Linked DNA regions of Callithrix jacchus. The protein of the gene in region 5 interacts with the protein of the main gene of each other region in a biochemical or structural test. Links are inferred from orthologs where the notes say so. Each region holds a gene or a part of one and is shown on either strand. Other genes may lie near its edges.

Region 1 (2,626 bases), on a different chromosome or scaffold from region 5:
AGGAGTTTGAGACCAGCCTGGCCAATATGATGAAACCCTGTCTTTACTGAAGATAGAAAAATTAGCTGGGCATGGTGGCGTGTGCCTATTCTCCCAGCTACCCAGGAAGTTGAGGCAGGAGAATCATTTGAACCCAGGAAATAGAAGTTGCAGTGAGCCGAGATTGTGCCGCTGCACTCCGGCCTGGGCAACAGAGCAGGACTCTGTTTCAAAATAAAAAAGGCTGAGTATGGCGGCTCGTGCCTGTAATCTCATCACTTTGAGAAGCCGAGGCTGGTGGATCGCTATAGCCCAGGAATTCGAGACCAGCCTGGCCAAAATGGTGAAACCCTGTCTCTACTAAATAGAGAAAAATTAGCTCGGTATGGTGGTGCATGCCTGTAATCCCAGCTACCCAGGAGGCTGAGGCATGAGAATTGCTTGAACACAAAGGCAGAGGTTGCAGTGAACCAAGATCACACCACTGCACTCCAACCTGGATGACAGAGCAAGACTGTATCAAAAAAAAAAAAAATACCAGCTGGGCGTGGTGTGTCATTGTTGTAATCCCAGCACTTTGGGAGGCCAAGGTGGGTTGATCACCTGAGGTCAGGAGTTTGAGACCAGCCTGACCAACACGGAGAGACCCTGTCTCTACTAAAAATACAAAATTAGTTAGGCATGGTGGTGCATGCCTGTAATCCCAGCTACTCAGAAGGCTGAGGCAGGAGAATCTCTTGAATCTGGGAGACGGAGGTTGCAGTGAGCTGAGATCGCACGATTGCACTCCAGCCTGGACAACAAGAGCAAAACTTCATCTCAGGGAAACAACAAAAAAAGAATACCATAATACACAATCTACCTAACTTAAGATAGAAAGCTTTGCAACTACAGATGAATCCCATTCTTTTCTTTAACCACCAGAGGTAACCACTACTCAAGTAGAATTTTTAATGTCTGTCATACATTGATACTTGCTGCATGAGTAGCTTGGTTTTTCTTTAGGGAAAATTTAGTTTTAATTTCCGTACAGGTTTTTAGGATTTTGTGTAATTACCTATAATCTACCTTTCACAGAAGGGAAAATGCTTACATTTATTTTGCATTTTTCATTTGTGGATATCTGTGGCAGACTTAAGGTTTATTCTGAAGCATGCAGCCTAATAATTAGGGCCTAACGTAACAACATCATTTTTTAAACTAATTTTTACACTTCAAATAGATGATGAACAACATGGGTGGTGATGAGGATGTAGATTTACCAGAAGTAGATGGAGCAGATGATGTAAGTCTAAAAGTTTTTTTTTCTGTTTACTTTTATACTATTAAATAGTAAGAAACAGCATATTACAGGTGGTTTTATAGAGATTCAGGATTACTTCTTATTTTGTAAAAAAAAAAATAAAAAGGGAAAAGCAGTTTTTAAAATCTGCCCATTTTTGAGGAATGAATATCTACTAGGGAACTGGTTGTTCTGTAGACCATTCCTAAATGGATCAGATTTCAAAAGAATCATTGTATAGTGACATTATATATTAATACTTTACTGAATTATAAGAGTCAATTTAGGCTGGGTACAGTGGCTCATGCTTGTAATTCCAGCACTTTGGGAGGCTGAGGTGGGCAAATCACTTGAGGTCAGGAGTTCAAGACCAGCCTGGCCAACATGGTGAAACCATCTCTACAAAAATTAGCCAGGCAATAATGGCAGATGCCTGTAATCCTAGCTGCTGGAGAGGATACGGTTATGAGAATTCTTTAACCCAGGAGGTGGAGGTTGCAGTGAGCCAAGATCACATTATTGCACTCCAGCCTGGGCAACAGAGCAAGAGTCTGTCTCAGAAAAAGAATCGGTTTATAGGGATTATTTTGACTAAGAAAGCAAGTTAAATAGGTTTAATGTCAGGATTAGTCAGAGACCAGTTAAACAAATGGACGTTGTAAATCTGTAAGAGGATGATATATTAAACTACTTTTCTGAGCATCTTCCCAACACCAGCATTTTAACAGCTCCTGGAAAGTTATTTAATACAGTTTAGAAAAATATGTAATATTCACTCAACAGCTAGGATTAGAGTTCACTGTTTTCTGTCAGTCCATTGTTCTTCATATTGAACCATGTTTTCTCTTTGAATGCCAAGATAGAATTTAGGGAGGGATTCAAAATGTGGGCTGAATGTCTCCAAAAGGCACACACTAGTTTTTAACAGGTAGATAGATCCTCTGCTGTACATCCATTCACCTTAGGTAAACCTAGTCTTAAGTCCAGTGACTAAATTTCTATGCTTGATGTACTTAACTACCTGTGCTACTTTAGATCAAAAATACAGCACTTGAACTTAAGGTAAACTGTTCAGTTAGCAAAGGAATATTTGGTCAGCTCAGTAACTTTTCTAAATTTTGCCTCTTGCAGGATTCACAAGACAGTGATGATGAAAGTAAGTGTATATAAAAAGTATGTTTACACAGTGATATTTTACATCAAAAACCAAACTCAAAAAAGTGATGTTAACTTTGGAAGAAAAGTAATTTTTTCTTTATGACCTCGAATAAATAACCAAAACAGAAATGTGAATTACTTGAGATAGCAAGACCACCTACCTATTCATTGGGAAACGATATATTTTTGATTTTTGGTTGCTTTTCC
Region 2 (3,339 bases), on a different chromosome or scaffold from region 5:
GGCTGACCTCACATGATCCACCCACCTCAGTGTCCCAAAGTGCTAGATTATAGGGGTGAGCCACTGTGCCCAGTATTTTTTAAACCTTTGGAGACATGCCAGCTAATCTTTCCCCTACCGACTTGTTACCTACTGCTCACAACGAGCTCAAAGGACCAGAAAATGAGCGACTTTAGACACTGAGTTTAAAGAAATCTGGTAATGAACTGAGACAAAAGGCCAAGGAACTGACTACATTTAAGACACAAGGTGTCCCATGAATATCATCACAACAGTGCAGACGTGCACATGGGATGCACATTGTCTGCATTATTTTCTGTCTACATGTACTCCACCCCACACGCACCAGAAGTACACATTGGGAAGATCATGTCAACCCTTACAGTGGCCAATGTTAGTCACCTCCTGCTAGTACCTCATGTTTTACATTGTGGCACCAATGCTGTCACATCAAGAATACTCCCCTTCTCTGCCCAAGACAGACACTGTCACGCAACTTCTTTTAACTCATCTGTATTTGTTACAACTTTAAGCAGAATGTAACTCGAGCACTACATTTCCATCCACAAGACTGGCTCTGAGTTACTTTGAACAGCTTATGGTATGCTTAGGTAGGCTAATAACTGCTCCTCCAAACAATACTTTCTTTGGAAAACAAGCCCTGTGGAGAGTTCCATCAAGTTGCTTCAGTTTAACCTATTTCTAGAGGACTAGTACATGCAGAATTGGCAACTACAGGGAGGAAGAGTTCAGAAAGTAGATCCTACAAGGTATAACAAACACTTCTCTTCTAAACATCAAAGTATAGCTTGGGAACACTTCGATAACAAGATTTGGTCTACTAAGGAATCTGGCTTGCTAAACACTTTAGACCACAAAGTTAACATGTTACATACATCTTACAACACAAAGTACCTCGATCTGTTAATGTAAGCCAACGTGAAACTAAACAAGCATTACTAGCTCTGCGTTACTGCCTACAGTATCACAGCATCGCTCAGAAGTCGGCAGAGATCTACCTTCCCCTTATAGTTGTGATCATGCCATAGACTTTTTAATGTTAACAAAAATAAAGAAAAACATCCTTGAAAATATATTATTAGAGGAACTGTAGAGTACTGAACAGGTAAGTCATCCCTCAGATGGAGCTTAGTCTACTTCTTCCATGCGTGACGTGTCGTCATCTCCTTCGAGGGGTGGCATTTCTTCAGTTACAGCTGCACTGGTATCATCAGCAGTAGGGTCATCTTCATCAATACCTGTTTTCAAAAGAAAATCCTCTATTAGGAAGATTTCTTAAAGCCAGCTAATTAGTATTAATACTCCTGGTTTACATCTGCTTTCAAGACAGTATTACTGGGCATAGGAATCTTCGTTTCTTAGCTCTTGTAACACCTTATCCCTGTAGAAAAAGATACCTGAATGCCTCTGAGCAGGACAAGGTGCTCCAAGTTTGGATAACATTAACCACTTTTTCACAAGTCATGTATGATTGCTTTTCAACTTGACACAGTTTAAGGCTTACCTAGACCAAGTTTGATCATCCTGTAGATCCTGTTAGCATGTGTCTGGGGATCCTCCAGACTGAAGCCTGAAGACAGGAGAGCGGTTTCATAAAGCAAGATGACCAGATCCTTCACAGACTTGTCGTTCTTATCAGCCTCCGCCTTTTGCCTTAAGGTCTCGATGATGGAATGGTCAGGGTTTATCTCCAGGTGTTTCTTTGCTGCCATGTAACCCATTGTTGAGTTGTCTCTCAGGGCTTGAGCTTTCATGATTCTCTCCATGTTTGCTGTCCAGCCGTATGTGCTTGTGACAATACAGCATGGAGACGTCACCAATCGGTTTGACACAACCACCTGTAATGAAGAAGTAAGAACTTAGGAGCCTAGAAAGATTAAAACCTAAACTTTCATTGTGAAATGAAATCTGAAGAACCAAAATATCAATATGTCGGAAATACCATCTACTATCAAATACAACTTAAGGTTTTATTAGGTATCCAAACAGCACAGGCTAAAATTGTGTTTTACATACACAACCATAGTTTTCAGTGAAGCTGAGAACAAGGGAAAATGGGTTATGTAAGCTTGAAAGCCCCTTAGAGGTATCAATCATCAGGAAATGCTGTATTCACATACCTTTTCAACCTTTTTCTCCAGTATGTCTTTCATGATTTTGCAGAGGTTCTCAAACTTTGTTTTCTTCTCTTCCTGTTTCTTTTTCTCTTCTTCATCCTCTGGAAGTTCCAAGCCCTCTTTGGTGACTGACACTAAAGTCTTCCCCTCAAATTCCTTCAGCTGTTGGACACAGTACTCATCAATGGGCTCAATCATATAGATCACTTCTAAGCCATGCTTTCGAAGACGTTCCACAAAGGCTGAGTTAGCTACTTGGTCCTTGGTCTCACCTGAGGTATTATAAAAGTTACTTTTATACCTTTTGACAGTAAGGAATGGCTTCACCTACTTCTGACTTTTCTTACTAGTCAGATACCTAGGCAGAACCGAAAACAGATGACTGAGCTCATGTTAAGTATCCTGCTTAGATCAACACCAGTTATACTAACAGTGCTACCTGAGTAGAAAACACATCCAGAGCCTACAAGGTTCCAAGAACAAAGTGTTTGAGTGTAATGTACTGTCCCCCTACCTGTGATATAATAGATATGTTTCTGGTTTTCCTTCATTCTGGTGCAGTAGTCTTTGAGAGATACCATCTCATCACCAGAGGCAGATGTGTAGTATCTCAACAGCTCTGAAAGCTTCTTCCGATTTTGAGAGTCTTCGTGTATTCCAAGCTGAAACAAAGTAAGTTCTTTACAAAGATGTCTTGAATTTAAAAAAAATCTAAAAAGAGGCCAGTTGGAAAACTACTAATGGTCAAATATTTACACTAACCTTTATGTTTTTAGAGAACTGCTCATAGAACTTCTTGTAGTTCTCTTTATCTTCTGCCAGTTCAGTGAAGAGTTCTAAGCATTTTTTGACCAGATTCTTCCTGATAACTTTCAAAATCTTGCTTTGTTGCAACATCTCACGGGAAATATTTAGAGGGAGATCCTCTGAGTCTACCACCCCTCTAATGAAGTCTGAAAAAAATATAAAAACCAAATGCACTGAGTCATTCCAAAGACAAAACTGGTGCTAGATAACCCCCAAAAAATCAAACGTAAAAACCTCAAAATATATACATATGTATTAAGATGGGTCTGTTTTACAGGGTGGAGTGCAGTGGCCCGATCTCTGCCCACTGCAACCTATCTCCCACTCCCCTCTCCCTATTCAAGCTATTCTCAAGACTCAGCTGGACTCCAGGCACCCACCACCACACCAGGCT
Region 3 (4,192 bases), on a different chromosome or scaffold from region 5:
TGGGGTGACGTCACGCGCCCACGACTCGCCCCGCCTGTCACTGTTAGCACTCTCCGGCCCGCTCCCCGCCTCCTCCGGTAGCGGGTCTGCGGGTTAGAGAAAATAGGCTGAAGGGAGGAGACCAAGCCTTGGCCAACTGCGCTTGCCGTCGCCATTCCGCCCTAGCCTGTGCCGTGCTCCGCGGCGATTCAGTCGAGACCGGAACCAGCGTTCATCTGGGACTCCTCTGACTCCTCTTTCAGCTCGTTCTGCCTGACGTTCAAGACCTTGCTTCGAGGTTTATGGCCCTACATCCCTCGACTACGGATTGCCTGCCTGTCTGCATCCTTTCAAGTTCCCTTATTCAGCCTTTTAAGGGTTCGTAGTGGATTTGGAAAGCCCCCTTCTCCACCAACTGCCCCGAGAGGTGGGGGCAGCAGTGGGCCGGCACACAGTGCTGCTGTAGGAGGAGGAGGGGTTTCAGCCTGAGTCAACAGCATACGCAAAAATCACAGCGAGTGAAAGACGTGGGGTTTTCAATGTAGCAGACATTTAATTCTTATTTGCCAACTCCTGAGCTAGGGTCTGGGGATTACAGTTAAATAGGACGTGATTCTAGTCCTCTAGGCACCAGCGGTCTTGGAAAGGAAGCCAAACAAGTAAACTGGCCATTTCAATACTATGTGGATGTTACAATGCTAGAGGTAGGCACAGGGGGTGCAGTGCAAGGGAGGAAGGGCGTTAACATCTGCTACCTACTCCCAGGTCCCAAGCATTCGTATCAACGTTATTTCACTTTATTTCCTCGTTATTATGAAAGGCAGGTATTGATATTCCCACTTAACAGACGAGGAAACAGCTTCAGGGTGTTAAACTTACTTGACCCAGTCGGTCTCCTAGTCCATTTCAGAACCAAGATTCAAAGAGGTTTTGTTTAGAAAATCTAGGGGTTTTTTTACGCATACCAAAATAAAGTAGCCTCAGGGAATCAAAGCATTCATGACAGAAGGTGACTTCTGAGCTGAGTCTTGCAAGAATTCTGGAAATTAACGAGGCAATTTTATCAAGGGTGGTGGTGTTAAGGGGACGGAGCAGCTTGAGCAAGAGTGAGAGTTCTAGGAGTTTGGGGAGGGAGGAGGAAAAATGATTTGTTACTTAGGAACAAATAGCAAGGAAGGTTTGTGAACTATGATTGGAAAAATAAAAAAGCCTGAACTCTATCCAGTAATCCTTGAAGGGTTTTCATCAAGTGGCCTGATGGGATTTGCATTTTACTCTGGAAGATGGTTTGGGGTTGGCAGGAAGAACACTTTTTTGTTGTTGTTTTTTGTTTGTTTGTTTTTCCAGGAGAACATGGCCCTAAAAAATGTAGTAGTAGTGGGGATAGAAGTGGATAAGTTCTAGATATATTTGGGAAATATAATTGGAAGGACTTGTGGACTGATGAAGATATATTTAAGAGGTACAGTCAGTAGGACTTGTTGATTGAAGGTGGAGTAGAAAGATGACATGGGTTTCTGGCTTGGTTGGAAAAAGCATAGCATCATTTGCCAAGAAGAAACAAGAGATGGAATTGTTTGGGGTTGGGAAGGTGGAAGATGAAATGTTGAGTATCACACGTCTTAAATTTGGGGTGTCAATCACTTTTGGATAGAAAGTCTTATTTAGTGAGATGATAGTGGTTGTAGATGTCAGTGATTTGTTCCAGGGGACAATGAGTAAACTGAGAAAAGCAAAACCCTACGAATGGAGCAATGCAGATCAGCATTCCATGAAGAAGCAGAAGCTGATGAAGGAGAAAGATAACAGTGGTCAGAGAAGTTAAGCCCTGAAAGCTAAGTAAGGAGAGGGAGTGGGCAACTATGATGGAAAGGCCATAAAGCAAAGATTGAGAAGTATGCACTGCAGGCCATTGTTTCTGGATGTCAGGATAGGAAAGAGTAAAAGGTGAGAGTAGAGCTCTCCTTGCAATGAATTGAGGAGTGATTATGAAGTGAACTAGTGCACAGAGTCTGTATACAACTCTTTGGAAAAGCCTGATTGAAAGAGGAAGATGAGCTGTGGGGGAAGAGGCATTCAAAAAATGGTAGTTATAGTATCTTATTGAGGATTCTAAGGCAGGAGTAGGGAGACCTGAGTATGATGGAGCATGGTAGGGTTGAGAGTCAAGTCAAGCACACAGCATTTCAGGGTTAGGGAGATAAGTTGTCTGCATCAGTGTGCAGCTGAGGGTTCAGCAGGGCTTCCAACAGGGCAAAATACGGTACTGAACTGCCAGCTTCAGGGCAGGGGACAAGTCACCTCTCCTGATAGGAAAGGGTCAGGGGTTGAGTAGAGACTTCAGCAAAGCTGGGAAGTTGGGTGTTCCCCAGCCTGTCACAGGATCCCAGCCAGGGCCAGAGCAGAAACCCTGGCCCTCCACCTCTTCATTCAGACAGGACTCATGGCAGCCATGGGTTACCTAGGGAGGAGGGTGGCATCAGATCTGGGCCTGCTCGTACCAGTACTTAAAGAGTATACCTCCCTACCCTATATTCACATTTCAGAGGCCAATCAACAGCATCCCAACTGCCCCCCAAGTACCCCTTATCACTCCCCATAGTTGCATGAAAATGTTCACACCCTTCCCTTCCATACTCACATCGAAGAGTCCTGCCCCATGCTGCTGGTAGAGCCTTGGATTGAGAAAGCCAAGAGGGGGGCGGCCACTGAGGATTCTGTGCTCATTGATCAAGGATAGGAGCCCCCCAAACACTGGAGTAGAGGCCTGCAAGAGTGAAGGTGCAAGTAGAAGTCAGGGGTTCTGAGTGACTGGACTTTTTTGGAGTAAAGCTTTAGAGTATGAGACATCTCTAAGTAGTTGGGTTCTGGATACAAGGTGCTCAAGGTGTTAGTGGGTAAGAGTAATTCCTGAGTGAGAGTTTGGAGATGGGTTGATTCTCACCGAGGTTCCAGACACCCATGGTATGGGCACACTGTTGCTGACCACCCAGTAGCCATCGGAAAGTGCAGCCACATCTGGGTAGGCACGGCCACTGGCATTGAAGTAACTGGATGGTGGCAGGTGGGGGCTAGAGTTCAGGAACTTGGCTACAGCTTCCTCCTGAAAGGCATTTTTGAATGAGAAATTGGCCTGTGGCCTGCCCAGCAGTCAGCTGAACTGAGGATCCCCCATCCCCACTCTCACCCTGCATCCATCCACATAAACACATGTACCTGGTATGAAGGTCGTGGGAACACATTGCTGAAGCCACCACCACTGATATAGTCAACAATCTCATTTGTGATGCGGAAAGGATTCTGGAAGCTTGTGCCTCCCACTGTGGTGACATAGGGGCTGAGGGCAGAAGACAGCATTCAGATAGTAGGGGATGCAAGCAGACCTCCAAGATGTGTGGGGAGGGGTGAGTATGGCCCAGGTCTTGCTGGAGAAATTAGACTTTGTGGGGAAGCATGTATATGGGATTGACTAAGACTTTTGAGCCTTCAAGGCATGGCCTGAGGTGACTGTGCACACTTTTCTCTGTAGAACATCCACCAAATCTTCCACTAAAATGCCTGGGGACTGAGGAAAAGAAACAGTGGGAGCTGTATCCCACATAAGAGATTTGGGGACTGGGACCTACAGGAAGAAGAGACAGGAGTGCAGCAGCCAGGACAGGCAAAGCTTAAAGCTGAACCACAGGAGCACATGGTGGAGTCAAGACAAAGGTTCTACATCATGAGTTCACAAGTGAAAGGTGGTGGTTATACCTGAGTGGTAGGCTAGAGTTCTTACCTGGAGGCAGGGAAGGAAGGACGGAACTGGTGTCTTCCAGAGACAGACCAACACCCAGCCCCACTGTCACCTGAGAGAGACCAAATGTAGCACTCATTAATTTGTTAGGGCTTAGTATGTGGGTTCAGATGTCAGAGAGGAAATTTAGGTGTCAGCTATTACTGCAGGAGGTCAGAGTTTAGAGGTCAGGTCAGTGGTCCCAGTTGGAAGGTCTCAGTTTAGATTGTGAGTTAGAGACCAGGCTCAGGGGTCACTGTGGGGCCAAAGTTTCCAGGTTGCAAGGGTGGAGGGGGTGTCTAAGTTTAGGGCAGGAGGTCACCTGAGGCGAAGAGCAGGGTGAGACCCCGAGTGGCGGCCTTCATGAGCTCAGTGTTGACCCGCTGGATGTAGGCGCTACTGAGGGAGTCCTCATCATCTCCATAACTCACAGTATGC
Region 4 (4,035 bases), on a different chromosome or scaffold from region 5:
TTCTCTGTTCAAGGTTCCATCATCATCAAAGTCTAGAGAGCAGACACAGGAAGCCAAAAGACATGGTCAGGAGGGGCTCTGAGGTTCCACAAACGGTGCCCATTTCCCAAGCATGGCCACCACAAAGCCCACGTGGGAAAGGGTGGTGTCCCACCGGGCTTTGGTTCTCACCGAAGATTCGGAAGGCATAATGGGACTTGATATCTGGCGTGGCTGTGTCACTGAACACACTGAGGAGGTCCAGGAAGTCCTCGAAGCTAAGGCTGTCTCTGGTTGGGGACGTGGAGAAGACTCTGCAGATTCGCTCCTTGAAGGGGTTGGCCTAGGAGAACAAATACCATAGGACGTGGCCCAGGTCACACACTCATCAAACACTATTAGAAACTTGGGAGAGCAGGTCATAGGATCAGCAGCAGGGAGCTCAGGCTCTCAAGGGTGAATGATCAGTGCTTTGGGGCCAACATGCAGGGCCATGGGGGCACAGGAGGGCAAACTGAGCCAGTTGGGGAAGGGACTGAGACAGCTTCCTGGGAGTCAAGTGTTTAACCCAAAGGCAGGTCATGTACAACCTAAGTGTGAGCAAAGAGGGAAGAAGAAGGCATCTTAAGCAAAGGGAACGAGATGGGCTGGTTATTTTAAAACACGAATGGTTAACTGAACACCTATTGTGTTATAGGCCCTGGCTCAGACCCTTTGCACAAAATTTTCACAACAGCCCTGTGAATTTGCAATCACCCTCTAGAACAGGGTTCCTCAAACCTTAATATGGTAACTCAACTCCTCTTAAAGGACAAAACTTCTTTGAACTTCCAAGAATATGTCCTAGAATCCCCATTTGAAAAGCACCATTCTAGAGAATTCTGCCAGGTGATATTAGTAAAGTCCTTGCCCCCAGAAAATTAGAACTAAGCAGAGAAATGACCAGAATGGGGACCAGTGACCTCATGATCTCAAAGCTAGCGGCAGATGGAGTTAGGGGGGTCTAGCAGGGAGGGAGTGGTGAGGGAGGGGTCAAAGGAGGGGAGCACTGGCACCTTGAGCTCTGGAAGGCTGAGGATCTGCTCGAAGGACACTTGTGCCCGAAGTGACGCCTCCACGCTCTGCTGCTCCTGGGGAAGCAGCTCACAAAACCGCTTGTGGGCTCTGGCAGAGAGAGGGGAACGGTTGGCCCTCTCAGCGATAGGTGTCCCTGTGTGTTCATTCCCACTCCTTGCCTGCTGCTCATCAACCAAGTGAGGAGCTGAAACCACGTACATAGAACTTCCCAGTCATCAGGCAACAGTAAGCAAAAGGACATGTCAGGAGGCTGTACAGCCTAGGAGTCTAGTCTTACGGTGAGTATTTACTGAGCATCTACTATGTGCTGGGCACTGATTCTAGAGATCCCCGAGGGATAAAGAGGTTGGGGATGGAGCCAGAAGTTGGCCCTAAAGAACTGGCCAGGTGCTATGGCTCACGCCTGTAACCCCAGCACTTTGGAAGGCCAAGGTGGGCAAAGCATTTGAGGTCAGGAGTTTGAGACCAGCCTGAGCAAAATGGTAAAACCCTATCTCGACTAAAATACAAAAATTTGCCGGGCATGGTGGCTGGTGCCTGTAATCCCAGCTATTCAGGAGGCTGAGGCAGGAGAATCACTTGAACCCAGGAGGCAGAGGCTGCAGTCAGCAGAGATCGTGCCACAGCACTCCAGCCTGGGCAGAGACTCTGTCTTGATAAATAAATAAATACATACATACATACATACATACAGGGAGAAAAAAACAAAACCAAAAATCTCATTATCACCTCCACTCCAGGGATCTCTTGCCTTCAAAACCTCCTTTTTAGCAGCCACCCTGAACTGTCCTCCTCCTCAGCCTCCATCTCCTTCCCATGAGATCATCTTTGCGCAGGAAGCCCAGGCATCTCCTCACTCAAGTGCCCGCCCTGCATATATCTGGCAAAAGGGCTTCCAGGTCAAGTTCAAATCTACTTGCTCAGAGTGTTGTCTTAGGCAGTTAGCAAACCTCTCTGAACCTGTTTCATTGTCCAGTACCTCTCTCCTAAAGATTAAATTAGGTCATGCAGGCAACCATTTAGCACAGTCCCTGGCACAAGGTGAGTGCTCAGAAAGCGTTAACGGTTCCTGTATTGTTCAGGTCAAGTTGGGAGAAGGAGCCAGACTCCCCAAGGCTTCCGTGGCTTAGCCACTGCGCAAAGCCGGCCCCTGCCGGACTAGAGCAGGAAGTTCGGCAGTGATGAAGCTAGTCAGCTCAGGGTCAAAGAGCACCTAACTTTTCTCGGAGGCTGCCACGCAGAGCCCCCGGCGAGGGCGGGGAGGGCGCAGCCCGGGCAGGGTCTCCCGGCCTCCAGCCCCAGCCCCTCAGCCGACCTCAGGCCGGCCCCCGCCCCTCCCTTGGGACAGCGCCCCCCGCGAGTCCGCCTCTAGAGGAGCCCGGGATCAGAGGCGGGGTTCAAGGCAGCACTTACAGGAGGATCTCTTGCTTCGTCAGGAACGTCAAGTCCTGGAATGCAAAGCCAGAGCGGGGGTTATCGGGCCGCCGGGAGGCCGTGACCGCCCCGCCGCCGCTCCCGGACCCCGCCCGGGAACAGACCGGCACGCGACTCCCTAGGGCCCGGCGTCCCGCGCACCTGATACTCGGCCAGCAGATCCTTGGACAGGCGACTGCCCGAGCCCCCCATAGCCGCGCCGCGCGCAACGCTCCGCCAACTCGCCTCGAGACGCCGACAACTTTCTCACTTCCGCCTTTGGGCCGCGTCTCAGCCCGGTCCCCGCGGCAACCGCTCCAGGGGCCACCGCCCCCGCCTAAACGCGCCCAGGCGCTCCTAGCCGGGTTGGCAGGCGAGCTCCCCGCTCCGGGCGGTCCCAGGCGAGCTGGGGGCGGGGTAAGGGGCGGGGCCTGATGCCCCGGGGCAGAGCCCAGGCCTCACGGCCCCGCCTCCGGGGTGGGCGGGACGAGCCACACCGCGCGCATGCGTGCTGGCTGCGCATGCGTCACGGGCGTCGCTTCCTGGCAGCGGTCCCTGCAGCCGCTGCCGGGAAGGTCGCGCGGTGTATCCTCCTCGGCTGCTGTAGGTGGTGGCGGCGGCAGCCCTGTGTGGAGTCCCATAGGGGCATCTGAGAAGTCACTAGAGCTGACGTTTACAGGAAACCTGGAGACTCGCTGAGTGGCCGGGGTCTTCGGCTGCCCCTCTGCCCAGCAAGGATTTTCTAGACGTTATCAGGCAATCGAGGCACCTGTCGCAGCCCCCAAGCCGCCTCTTCCAGAAGTAACCCGAACCTTGCTTCCTTCTGAGGCTATTTACTGAGGACCTACTGGATGTCAAGCAGTGTGCATAGTTTTCTTCGACTGCAAGGTAGGTATCCATTTTACAAAGGTGGAAATACGTAAGTCCAGAGGGATTTAGTGATGTGTCCGGGCTCCGGCGTTTAGAAAGTGATTGATCCAGTCCAAGGCACTTGTCTTCTTTTTTTTGGAGACACAGTCTCCCTCTGTCGCCAGGCTCCAGGCTGGAGGGCAATGGCGGGATCTTGGCTGCCTCCTGGGTTCAAGCAGTTCTCCTGCCTCAGCCTCCCAAGTAGCTGGGACTACAGGCGCGCGCCACCATGCCCAGCTAATTTTTGTATTTTAGTGGAGACGGGGTTTCACCCTGTTGGCCAGGGTGGTCTCCATCTCTTGACCTCGTGATCCGCCTGCCTCGGCCTCCCAAAGTGCTGGGATTACAGGCGTGAGCCACCGCGCCCGGCTCCAAGGCACTTTTCAAGGCTCTCCACTGCTGTTTGCATCATTCCAGCTGACATGCCATCCTTTGACCCCATCCCACCCCTAGACTGTATGCCCTAGGCTATAGAGATCAAAGCTGACCCTTTTGCTCTGGTCCCCTCTTAACCTCTAGGACAATGCTTGGCACATAGTACGTTCTCGGTAAATATTATCAAATGCATAATGAATGAATGAACGTATTCTACTGCAAAAGGTAAGGACGCCAAACTGCTGGGAGGTGGAAGTGGAGGTTGTGTTGGTCAGGCTGGGA
Region 5 (4,134 bases):
GTGAGGAGGAGGGCCTGTTCCGGCTGCCACTGCAAGGCCTGGGAGTGCTGGGAGCCAACAGGGGGGTGCAGCAGAGGTGCCTCCACATCAAACCCAGAAAAACAGAGCGGGGACACGGCAGGACCCAGCAGCACTGTCCCCCGAACACCCACAGCACCGTCCCTTCCCTGAGCAGGAGCCATCTGCTGTCCTCTGCTCCCACGTGGCCTTCTTCACTCCTACAGACAGGACCAGGACCTGTGCTGGAGGACAGCCTTCTTTATCTCCCTCCCTCTACTCTGTCCTGGCAGAATCAATGCACCATTTTTTTGTTTTGTTTTTGAGACAGTTTCACTCTTGTCACCCAGGATGGAGTGCAATGGCACCATTTCAGCTCACTGCAACCTCCCGGGTTAAAGTGATTCTTCTGCCTCAGCCTCCTGAGTAGCTGGGATTACAGGCACACGCCACCGTGCCCAATTGGTTTTTGCATTTTTAGTAGAGATGGGCGTTCGCCATGTTGGCCAGGCTGGTCTCGAACTCCTGACCTCAGGTGATCCACCTGCCTCTGCCTCCGAAAGTACTGGGATAACAGATGTGAGCCACCAACACAATTAAATCTTAAATACAAACCTGCATATTGGCTGACCATGTGCACCTGCAAAACCCTTCCCTCCCACCCCAGGAAGAGGGAGTTTTTGTCCTCAACTCCCATTCCTATCCTTGAAATCGTGAAGGGGATTATAGGTAACCTGCAGGCACTCTGCCAAGAGTGTCTGTGCTTCCACCCGCTTCCCCACCTTGTGAGCACCCCAGCTCCACAGCACGCCCCGCCCCGTCTGTTCACTGCTCTGGCCTCAGCGCCTGGAAACTGCACGTCCATAAAAAACCTGAAGGCGAACCTCATAGCTTTATGCAAACTGGACGGGAGAGAGAGCGCAGAGGCAGAGATCACCACGTCCACTGACGTCCTGAGCAAGAAGCCACGTGTGCCCACGTGATGCAGACCAGAGGACCAGGGCTCTGCCTGCCCTCTTTTCTGAACCCCTTCTGCATTAAGCTCTGGGGCCTGGGACCTCGACGGCCACCCTCTCCTCACCTGGGCTCCTGCGCAGCCAAGCGCAGTCACGCACGCTCATCTTCCAGGTCAGCTCCTGCAGCGAGAGCTTGGCATGCTTCCCCAGAGAGATGAACTTCTTGGTGTTCCTGAGGAAGCGACGCTCGTTGTGCCTGGAGCCCCAGAGGCCGGGAGGCACCAGCCGGCGAAGGCAGGCCCGCAGGAAGCTGTACACCTGCCAGGGGCTGCTGTGCTGGCGGAGCAGCTGCACCAGGCGACGAGGGTCTGTGTCCTCCTCCTCGGGGGCTGCCACAGAACCCAGGGGCTCCTGGGCACAGACACGGGCCGCCGGGGTGACCGCAGTCCGCAGTGGGCAGTGTGTCTTGAGGAGCGCCCCGTAGGGGCACCGCGCGTGGTTCCTGAGCAGCTCCAGAAACAGGGGCCGCATCTGCCAGTAGCGCTGGGGCAGGCGGGGCAGCCTGCGGGGCGTCCCTGGCCTCGAACCCAGAAAGATGGTGTCCAGGAGCCTGCGGGCGCCCGTCAGGCTGGGGCGCAGGGCGCTGAGTAGGAAGGAGGGCCGAAGCCGCTCCTGGGCACCCGAAGAGTAGAGGAAGTGCTTGGTCTCGGCATAGACCAGGGGACATGGCGTGTCCCGGGGCTGCGGTGACCGCGATTTGGATGGGGGCCCCGCCCCGGGCTGGTGGCCCGCTGATGGGTACGAGTGGCATGCGCCAGGGGCTTCCTCGGCTGCTCCCACAGGTGATACCACGCAGAAACCGTGGCCACTCGGTCCACGTGTCCTGCCGGGGTGCGCCCGAGATCCCTGCCCCACAGGCGTCCGCTCCGGCTCCAGGGCAGGCCCACACCTGGGCCTCTTGGGCCACGGTGGACTTACGCTGGCGCTGCCCCGGCGCCTTCTCTCACCCGGGGCTGGCAGGCCCAGGCGGACCCCGGGCTCCTTGACGCTGCTGCTCCAGGCCCGTTTGCGTCCCAGGCCCCTTCGCGTCCCAGCCGCGTGTGGCGCGGGCCGGGGCTCGGGCGCAGTGCGGAGCTCGTACAGCGGCGGCCCGCACACCTGGTAGGCGCAGCTGGGAGCCACCAGCACGTAGAGCGCGCAGTGCGCCAGCAGGTAAACCAGCACGTCGTCGCCCAGGCGGCGCAGCAGCAGCGCCCACGCCCCGCTGCCGCGCAGCGTCTCGGTCACCGTGTTGGGCCGGTAGCTGCGCACGCTGGTGGTGAAGGCCTCGGGGGGGCCGCCGCCGGCGCCATCCAGCAGCGCGAAGCCGAAGGCCAGCACGTTCCTCGCGCCACGCTCGCAAAGCCTCTGCAGCACCCGGGCCACCAGCTCCTTCAGGGGGGACACCTGCGGGCGGGGGAAGCGCCCTGAGTCGCCCGCCGGGGGTGCGCGCGCCGCTCCGCTCCCACCCCCGCGCCGGACGCGGACCCCGGGTACCCCACCTGGTGGAAGGATGGGGCGGCGGGGGGCGGCCGTGCGTCCCAGGGCACGCACACCAGGCACTGCGCCACCAGCGCGCGAAAAGCCGCCGGGTCCCCGCGCTGCACGAGCCGCCGGCCCTCGGGCCCCAGGCGCCGCACAAACGTGGCCAGCGGCAGCACCTCGCGGTAGCGGCTGCGCAGCAGGGAGCGCACGGCTCGGCAGCGTGGCGCGCGCGGCATCGCGGTGGACTGCAAGGGCCGGAGCGCGGCGTCCCACGTGCGCAGCAAGACGCGGCGCGGTCAGCCTCCAACCTGCGCCCCAAGAGAAGGCGGGACCGCGGAGAGGAAGGGGCGGGGCCGGAGAGTGAGGGGCGGGGCTGGAGGGGAGGGGGCGGAGAGGGCCGGAGGGGGCGGGGCCGGGGACCGGGGACGGGGAGGGGTCGGGACGGGGACGGGGGCGGGGTCCGCGCGGAGTCGGCGGAGCTAGGTGAGGGCGGGGGCGGGCCGGGTTTAGGAAGCCTGGGTCCCTCTCCCTCCGCCACGTGGGCAGCGCAGTCCCGGGCGTCTGCGCCCCCGAATCCACCGGGATCCCGGCCTGGCCTGGCCTCGACCGCGCAGCTGCTCCGTGCGGACCCGGGGGTCTGGGACGCGCTTCCCGCCCGCGCGCCGCCGCCGCTCGCAGGGTGCAGCGACCCCAGCGAGGGCCCCGCAGAGAGGGGTGACGTCAGCCCAAGCGCGGGGTAACCCGAGGGAGGGGCGGTGGCCCTGGGCACAGGTGCGTGGGGCGCTCACTTCATGGCTTTCCCAGATGGGCCCGACCCCTAGAGCCAGGGCTGTCCCCCGGTCCGGACGGGGAACGTCGGGAAGAAGCAGGGCGGCGGGCTCCCGGCCCTGGGAATGCAGGGCTCCGGGGGAGGACCGAAGCGCGTAGACGCGGCTGGGGACGACCCCCAGGGCACAGCGCTCCCGGGACGGGCACGCGGGGCTCTCGGAGCGCCTCCCTGCCCACGGGCAGTACTTCCCCGCGACTTGGTCTCCTTTTCTCTTTGCAGGTTCTTAGGCCGCGAGGGGTCCCCACCATGAGCAAACCACCTCAGATCTGTTCACCCACCGGGCCGTCGCGTCGAGGAAGGGTGGGACATGCAGTCAGGTGCTCCTCTGGCCCGGCACTGGGGGCCTCACACCTGCCGCAGCTGCCTTTACCCTGGGCCCTGGCGCGGTGTCCACCAGCTGAGGCCAAACTCCGGTCACTCCCACCCGCAGAGGGAGGAGGGCAGCCTCGGGGGTCCGGGCACCTGGCTACAGCCTCGGACCGCTGAACCAGAAGGCCCGACCTCCAGCCCAGCTGAGGAAGCCACGCAGCCGCTGGGCCCCTGCAGACCCAGGGCCCGGGCACAGCCGAGGACTTCCCCGAGCCCCAACTCCGGCTGCTCAAGTTTGCATCTAGGAGGTAAGAAACTTCTGGGTCTCCAGAGGCTTTGCGGGGAGCGTGTAGCTGAGGTCGGCAAACACTGAAATGCTAACAGATGCAACCTTCAATGTAACCTTTCCTACTTTCCGAGAGTGTGGGCGGAAATTGCTTTATTTATGGGCCTAGCATTTGAACAGGCCTCGCGCCCTCCCTGAGCCATCACACTCGCTAGGGGTTCGCCTCACCTTGT

What was found.
Region 1: the proteins of TERT (region 5) and PTGES3 form a complex in vitro, tested with the Homo sapiens proteins (2 studies listed by BioGRID). The link is inferred for Callithrix jacchus from reciprocal best matches to the Homo sapiens genes TERT and PTGES3.
Region 2: the proteins of TERT (region 5) and HSP90AA1 form a complex in vitro, tested with the Homo sapiens proteins (2 studies listed by BioGRID). The link is inferred for Callithrix jacchus from reciprocal best matches to the Homo sapiens genes TERT and HSP90AA1.
Region 3: the proteins of TERT (region 5) and TPP1 form a complex in vitro, tested with the Homo sapiens proteins (2 studies listed by BioGRID and IntAct). The link is inferred for Callithrix jacchus from reciprocal best matches to the Homo sapiens genes TERT and TPP1.
Region 4: the proteins of TERT (region 5) and CIB1 form a complex in vitro, tested with the Homo sapiens proteins (2 studies listed by BioGRID). The link is inferred for Callithrix jacchus from reciprocal best matches to the Homo sapiens genes TERT and CIB1.

What each region holds. Positions count from the first base shown.
Region 1 is NC_133510.1:62,989,729-62,992,354, forward strand, and holds the end of PTGES3 (prostaglandin E synthase 3), read left to right. Parts: intron 1-1,201; coding exon 1,202-1,312; 3' UTR 1,313-2,119; downstream 2,120-2,626. UniProt on the Homo sapiens protein: Cytosolic prostaglandin synthase that catalyzes the oxidoreduction of prostaglandin endoperoxide H2 (PGH2) to prostaglandin E2 (PGE2).
Region 2 is NC_133509.1:137,000,265-137,003,603, forward strand, and holds the end of HSP90AA1 (heat shock protein HSP 90-alpha), read right to left. Parts: intron 3,092-3,339; coding exon 2,901-3,091; intron 2,801-2,900; coding exon 2,653-2,800; intron 2,411-2,652; coding exon 2,142-2,410; intron 1,860-2,141; coding exon 1,526-1,859; intron 1,260-1,525; coding exon 1,150-1,259; 3' UTR 501-1,149; downstream 1-500. UniProt on the Homo sapiens protein: Molecular chaperone that promotes the maturation, structural maintenance and proper regulation of specific target proteins involved for instance in cell cycle control and signal transduction.
Region 3 is NC_133511.1:72,320,235-72,324,426, forward strand, and holds the end of TPP1 (tripeptidyl-peptidase 1), read right to left. Parts: coding exon 4,077-4,192; coding exon of another isoform or gene 4,072-4,076; intron 3,828-4,071; coding exon 3,758-3,827; intron 3,317-3,757; coding exon 3,196-3,316; intron 3,083-3,195; coding exon 2,924-3,082; intron 2,747-2,923; coding exon 2,621-2,746; intron 2,441-2,620; coding exon 2,300-2,440; 3' UTR 513-2,299; downstream 1-512. UniProt on the Homo sapiens protein: Lysosomal serine protease with tripeptidyl-peptidase I activity. May act as a non-specific lysosomal peptidase which generates tripeptides from the breakdown products produced by lysosomal proteinases. Requires substrates with an unsubstituted N-terminus.
Region 4 is NC_133507.1:19,354,567-19,358,601, forward strand, and holds the start of CIB1 (calcium and integrin-binding protein 1), read right to left. Parts: upstream 2,809-4,035; 5' UTR 2,683-2,808; coding exon 2,632-2,682; intron 2,505-2,631; coding exon 2,470-2,504; intron 1,144-2,469; coding exon 1,035-1,143; intron 323-1,034; coding exon 172-322; intron 33-171; coding exon 1-32. UniProt on the Homo sapiens protein: Calcium-binding protein that plays a role in the regulation of numerous cellular processes, such as cell differentiation, cell division, cell proliferation, cell migration, thrombosis, angiogenesis, cardiac hypertrophy and apoptosis.
Region 5 is NC_133503.1:204,793,307-204,797,440, reverse strand, and holds the start of TERT (telomerase reverse transcriptase), read right to left. Parts: upstream 2,803-4,134; 5' UTR 2,714-2,802; coding exon 2,495-2,713; intron 2,400-2,494; coding exon 1,079-2,399; intron 1-1,078. UniProt on the Homo sapiens protein: Telomerase is a ribonucleoprotein enzyme essential for the replication of chromosome termini in most eukaryotes. Active in progenitor and cancer cells. Inactive, or very low activity, in normal somatic cells.